2 linked regions of the Saccharomyces cerevisiae S288C genome follow. The protein of the gene in region 1 interacts with the protein of each later gene in a biochemical or structural test. Each region holds a gene or a part of one and is shown in the gene's direction. Other genes may lie near its edges. The genes, in order: TIM9 and MIA40.

Region 1 (3,046 bases):
TAGAGGATTTTTACTAGGAAATGAGAATTTTTGGAAATTTTTAAGAAAAGTTACAGCAATGAAAGAGCAGAGCGAGAGCATTTTTGAATATTTAAATGAATCGATCAAGACAGACAGCAATATTTTGACAAATGAGAACTTCATGTGGGTCCTAGGACTATTAGATGAAATTTCATCAATGGGTGCCGTTGGAAATCACTGGGAAATAGAATACAAGAAATTGACAGAAAGTGGTCATAAAATTGATAAGGAGAATCCATACAAGAAATCGATCGAATTATCATTGAAATCCATTCAACTAACATCACACTTGCTGGAAGATAATAACGATCTGCGTAAAAACGAGATATTCGCTATTATTCAAGCTTTGGCACATCAATGCATCAATCCGTGTAAGCAGATAAGTGAATTTGCAGTGGTAACGCTAGAGCAGACGCTCATCAATAAAATCGAAATTCCAACTAATGAGATGGAATCGGTAGAAGAATTAATTGAGGGCGGATTACTACCGTTGCTAAATTCGAGTGAAACACAGGAAGACCAGAAAATCCTCATTTCATCCATATTAACAATAATTTCAAATGTTTATTTGCATTATTTGAAACTAGGGAAGACAAGCAACGAAACGTTTTTGAAAATTTTGAGTATTTTCAATAAATTTGTAGAGGACTCAGATATTGAAAAAAAGCTACAGCAATTAATACTTGATAAGAAGAGTATTGAGAAGGGCAACGGTTCATCATCTCATGGATCTGCACATGAACAAACACCAGAGTCAAACGACGTTGAAATTGAGGCTACTGCGCCAATTGATGACAATACAGACGATGATAACAAACCGAAGTTATCTGATGTAGAAAAGGATTAAAGATGCTAAGAGATAGTGATGATATTTCATAAATAATGTAATTCTATATATGTTAATTACCTTTTTTGCGAGGCATATTTATGGTGAAGGATAAGTTTTGACCATCAAAGAAGGTTAATGTGGCTGTGGTTTCAGGGTCCATAAAGCTTTTCAATTCATCTTTTTTTTTTTTGTTCTTTTTTTTGATTCCGGTTTCTTTGAAATTTTTTTGATTCGGTAATCTCCGAGCAGAAGGAAGAACGAAGGAAGGAGCACAGACTTAGATTGGTATATATACGCATATGTGGTGTTGAAGAAACATGAAATTGCCCAGTATTCTTAACCCAACTGCACAGAACAAAAACCTGCAGGAAACGAAGATAAATCATGTCGAAAGCTACATATAAGGAACGTGCTGCTACTCATCCTAGTCCTGTTGCTGCCAAGCTATTTAATATCATGCACGAAAAGCAAACAAACTTGTGTGCTTCATTGGATGTTCGTACCACCAAGGAATTACTGGAGTTAGTTGAAGCATTAGGTCCCAAAATTTGTTTACTAAAAACACATGTGGATATCTTGACTGATTTTTCCATGGAGGGCACAGTTAAGCCGCTAAAGGCATTATCCGCCAAGTACAATTTTTTACTCTTCGAAGACAGAAAATTTGCTGACATTGGTAATACAGTCAAATTGCAGTACTCTGCGGGTGTATACAGAATAGCAGAATGGGCAGACATTACGAATGCACACGGTGTGGTGGGCCCAGGTATTGTTAGCGGTTTGAAGCAGGCGGCGGAAGAAGTAACAAAGGAACCTAGAGGCCTTTTGATGTTAGCAGAATTGTCATGCAAGGGCTCCCTAGCTACTGGAGAATATACTAAGGGTACTGTTGACATTGCGAAGAGCGACAAAGATTTTGTTATCGGCTTTATTGCTCAAAGAGACATGGGTGGAAGAGATGAAGGTTACGATTGGTTGATTATGACACCCGGTGTGGGTTTAGATGACAAGGGAGACGCATTGGGTCAACAGTATAGAACCGTGGATGATGTGGTCTCTACAGGATCTGACATTATTATTGTTGGAAGAGGACTATTTGCAAAGGGAAGGGATGCTAAGGTAGAGGGTGAACGTTACAGAAAAGCAGGCTGGGAAGCATATTTGAGAAGATGCGGCCAGCAAAACTAAAAAACTGTATTATAAGTAAATGCATGTATACTAAACTCACAAATTAGAGCTTCAATTTAATTATATCAGTTATTACCCGGGAATCTCGGTCGTAATGATTTCTATAATGACGAAAAAAAAAAAATTGGAAAGAAAAAGCTTCATGGCCTTTATAAAAAGGAACTATCCAATACCTCGCCAGAACCAAGTAACAGTATTTTACGGGGCACAAATCAAGAACAATAAGACAGGACTGTAAAGATGGACGCATTGAACTCCAAAGAACAACAAGAGTTCCAAAAAGTAGTGGAACAAAAGCAAATGAAGGATTTCATGCGTTTGTACTCTAATCTGGTAGAAAGATGTTTCACAGACTGTGTCAATGACTTCACAACATCAAAGCTAACCAATAAGGAACAAACATGCATCATGAAGTGCTCAGAAAAGTTCTTGAAGCATAGCGAACGTGTAGGGCAGCGTTTCCAAGAACAAAACGCTGCCTTGGGACAAGGCTTGGGCCGATAAGGTGTACTGGCGTATATATATCTAATTATGTATCTCTGGTGTAGCCCATTTTTAGCATGTAAATATAAAGAGAAACCATATCTAATCTAACCAAATCCAAACAAAATTCAATAGTTACTATCGCTTTTTTCTTTCTGTATCGCAAATAAGTGAAAATTAAAAAAGAAAGATTAAATTGGAAGTTGGATATGGGCTGGAACAGCAGCAGTAATCGGTATCGGGTTCGCCACTAATGACGTCCTACGATTGCACTCAACAGACCTTGACGCTCACGCCGTAGCGGGCGACAAGTCAAACGGAACAACCGTTGCCGTTCCCATCGGAGTCCGACCTAGGCCGAACTCCGTGAATTTCTGATAACAACGGTCGGTAAAGACTGGTTCCCCAGTATATTTCTTCTCTCAGGAGCAGGGGCCAATGCCAAAAGCGACATTAACCCGGAGGACAAGGCTCCACTGTGTTCCACCGAATTTCCCACCTGATAATATCTGATAACCCGCCCAT
Region 2 (3,971 bases), on another chromosome or scaffold:
TGGTTGACTCTAACACGTTTATAATTGAATGCGGTAACCTTAAAAAGTTTCCTACTATGGCATTGGAGAATTGGATTCTCAGATTCTCAAACTTCAACCTCTTGGTCGTCGTCATTTGAAAGAGCAGTTCCTCAGGTGTTTCTTGTTACTGCCGTCCCTTCCAGAAGAAATTCGACGATGACAATAGTCGGAGAGATATTCCGGACCTTTATAATTGCGGCTACGCACAAGAATAAATCGCGATAGTAATCGGATATAAGACAATAAAGTCCAGCTAACTTGGTTGGAGAATTCGACAGATTACCATGAATATAGAAATCGATGTTTTTTTTTGTCCACGCCGATTGATCAGCCATTTTTTTTTATCAGGGTCGCAACTGCCCTGTGCAAATAAGAAAGCCTGAAATGGTTGCACAAAGACCACAAACAAGGGCATACGCCAGTACAGTATTATGGACTCATGCCATCGAGGTTACATAGAATTAGTTTAAACAAAAACCAACTATCCTCTAATATCCATGGTACGAGTATATATAATTGTATGAAGTGTAAGAATATGATATAAATAATGAGAGCACTCATAGAGAGTAACGGCGCTGAATTGTAAGAACTGTCACGTAGTAACACAATCACTGAAAGCATATAAAGTGAAATGAGAAACGGTAGTAATATCATATGCATTACCAATTCCTTTTAGTGAATTTCCATGTGCCCGAGGGGGGACTTCCAGTATATTCTGTTACATTTAAGTAAATACTTCATCAACAAATAGGGCCCAGCGGTTTCTTACACTAATTATACATTTACAACGTAAATGCTCCAGCTCAAGCATTATTTATATATCTTGTTTTCAAAAGAAAAATATAGCAATTAGACTCCATGGCCAAGTTGGTTAAGGCGTGCGACTGTTAATCGCAAGATCGTGAGTTCAACCCTCACTGGGGTCGCTTATTTTTAACTTTTTTACACTGAAGAAACAAATCAATTCTAATACAATGCCAATGGCTTCAAATCAACCTTTGGTTATAATAGTTAGGAGAATCGATGCTTACATAGTATATTATTTAAACAATTAATTTGATTTAAAAGATTTTTGTTTCCCTTGCTGCTGTCATTGGCTTTCTAAATTACATAAAGCAGATGAAAAGCCACACTATGCTGAAAATAGTGTGTGGATGCATCTACATGATGATGCAACACGAATTGGATTTTTTAGCTTGCTTATAAAACATTTTGGAACTTGCCGTTAATGACTCCGATTTGTCCACCAAATTATCCAACTTTTCACCTCTTTGTAAAACATTCTCAATCGTTTTGTGCAAAACGATTTTCGTCTCATCCAGTTCTTGTTGAACTTTCATGATAGCGTCAGCCTGTGAAGGATCTTGATATTTGCTAATGTAAGTGTCCAGTTGCTTCATTTTCAATGCATCATTGGTCTCAGTCACATCTGCCCACTCTTCCTTAGGATGTGCGACTAAATATTCATCCAATATTTTGTTTAATAGTGTGTATGCTGGTCTGACAGGATATTCTTTGTCGGTGATCAAAACACCACATATGCCCTCACTCCTGGCATAAACGTGGCCAATATAGTTGCCTTCTTCTATACTTTGTCTTTGTCCTGCACCAGTTCTAGAAGCGACCGTTTCAGCAAAAAAAGTCATAAACTGGCCAACACTAGACCTTTCAAAGAAACCAAATTGTGACAAGTCTTTAACTTCACTCAACTCTAGAGCCTTTTCTCCTCCAGAGCGAAATACACCGATGTAGTAGATTCTCATTGCCAAAATAACTTCTCTAGTGATACGTAAAGCTTCAGAAATGCCCTAGCCTGGTCTAACGCAGTCAAACTGTGCCAGAGACTTTTGTATATTGTTCATGTTGATATCTATTGTGCTTGCTCTTGATTTCACACCAAGCCAATCGTTCTGTACGGCACGCCACCCAATAAGAAAAAAAGGGAAAAGGAGCCGAATTTTGGTTTAAAAACATATAATGCTGAAATTGTGGAACACCAATTACCAACTGGAAGTAGGCTCGATCCAAAGAGTGTATATTATCAGTAAAATGCTTCGCAACTTAGTCGTCAGGAATGCGTGCAGAAACAGGCCGTCAATTCAAGTGGCAAGGGGGTTATGCCGACACCAAACAAGACGTCTCATGGCGTCCTCCCCTCAGTTCGGTAGGAACTCCAATCAGGAAAAAACAGCGGGCTTTATAATGGGGATTCTTTCTATGGCTGGTGCTTTATATTTTATTGCTCCTAATAGGAAGCCTCTTTTCGCCTCAAGGAAGGTAGAATCCGATAAAACCGCAGAGGAAGAGCTTTCCAGTGGTGGTGAGCAATCACCAGAAAATGAAGATGACAACAACAGCAAAAGCGATGAAAATGGAGATGACAACGACAGCAAAAACGATGAAACTGAAGCTGGCCCTCAATTAGGGGGTGATAAAATTGGTGCTTCAAAAGTAGCTGAAGATGGTGAATTGGTTGTTCTAGCAGAAGAAGACAACAAGTCTTCCGAAGATAAAGATACTGATGAATCAAAGGTATCAACCAAAGATGATGAGCAATCCAATGAAGACAATGCCACCGCTAACAATCAAAAGGATGAAAACATAAGTTCTGAGAACTCGGAAGAAAATACTAGTGACAAAACACTAGACAACAATGCTGGATCTTCTGAAAAAAAAGATCCAGAACATTCAGATGATGAAAAATCGCAACAGGGACAATCTGATGACAAGACAACTACTGAAGATAATAATGGAGAAGAAGAATCCTCAAAAAAAACTGTAAGTGACTCGGAAAATTCAGCTAAGCAATCTGAATCTAGCGATGAAGAGAAAGAAGAACTAAGAAAACAAGAGGAAAAGCAAATGGGTCCTACTGAAGAAGAGGTTCAACACGAAGGTGCTTATAACCCAGACACTGGTGAGATAAATTGGGACTGTCCTTGCTTGGGAGGTATGGCCCATGGACCCTGTGGTGAAGAGTTCAAATCTGCATTTTCTTGCTTCGTCTATTCTGAAGCTGAACCAAAAGGTATCGACTGTGTTGAAAAGTTTCAACATATGCAAGACTGTTTCAGAAAATACCCCGAGCATTATGCAGAACAACTAAAGGAAACATCTGATGATGAGGAACCTCAAGACAAAGTAAAGGTCAACACAATAGAATCAGCGCCAAATGTTTCAAGCGCAAAGGAAAATGCTGCGAAAAAAGCAGAGCAATCAGATGTGAAAAAAGAACCATTGAATGAGGAATCCAAACCTTAAAATCTCCTGAAAATCTCCCGAACGTAAAAAGTATAAAAGTATAAAGGATGATACATGTAAATACAGTAATATTATCTTAGTTTAATGACTACATATGGTATAATATGTGAAATATACATGAATTAATGCATCTGTGGGGCGGATGAGTCTAGTCTCTGTATGAATCCAGCTATACATCAAATCGTATCCTTTTATTTACAGGGCAAGTTTGTCATATATTTTAAGTTACTTGTAGTTTTTTTCCAGCTCAATAAATTTTTCCCAAATTTGAGACATTGTAAGTTTCTCGAAACTCTTTCTATTATCACGTTCTCGAATGTTGTATTTCTGTAACTGTACTTCCTCATCACCCACGATAATTAAATAGGAATAGTTTTTCAAAATGGCCGACTTGATCCTATACCCTACGGGTTCGTTTCTTATGTCGAGATCAACATTGAAATGCCAATCATTTAAAGGAACTGGTTCCATGTCGTCGGCTTCCAGTTCATTACGTAGTTTTTTCTGCAAGGCAGTGCACATGTCTAGCTGTTGCACATTTTTCGTATTGACGGGAATAATTACAGCTTGGTAAGGATTCAACCAAAACGGCCAACGGCCCTCATTAGAATCTATCAGTAAAGCCATAAATCTTTCGATAGAACCAAAAGTAGCTCTATGAATCATAATTGGCCTCTTGTACGAGTTGT

The links.
Region 2: the proteins of TIM9 (region 1) and MIA40 form a complex in vitro, tested with the Saccharomyces cerevisiae proteins (4 studies listed by BioGRID).

Annotation. Positions count from the first base shown.
Region 1 is NC_001137.3:114,933-117,978, forward strand, and holds TIM9 (protein transporter TIM9), read left to right. Parts: upstream 1-2,278; coding exon 2,279-2,542; downstream 2,543-3,046. Other genes in the region: Arf family guanine nucleotide exchange factor GEA2, read left to right, coding at 1-868; URA3 (orotidine-5'-phosphate decarboxylase), read left to right, coding at 1,235-2,038. UniProt on the Saccharomyces cerevisiae protein: Mitochondrial intermembrane chaperone that participates in the import and insertion of multi-pass transmembrane proteins into the mitochondrial inner membrane.
Region 2 is NC_001143.9:73,751-77,721, forward strand, and holds MIA40 (Mia40p), read left to right. Parts: upstream 1-2,070; coding exon 2,071-3,282; downstream 3,283-3,971. Other genes in the region: PEX1 (AAA family ATPase peroxin 1), read right to left, coding at 1-115; palmitoyltransferase YKT6, read right to left, coding at 1,182-1,784; threonine--tRNA ligase MST1, read right to left, coding at 3,508-3,971. UniProt on the Saccharomyces cerevisiae protein: Required for the import and folding of small cysteine-containing proteins (small Tim) in the mitochondrial intermembrane space (IMS). Forms a redox cycle with ERV1 that involves a disulfide relay system.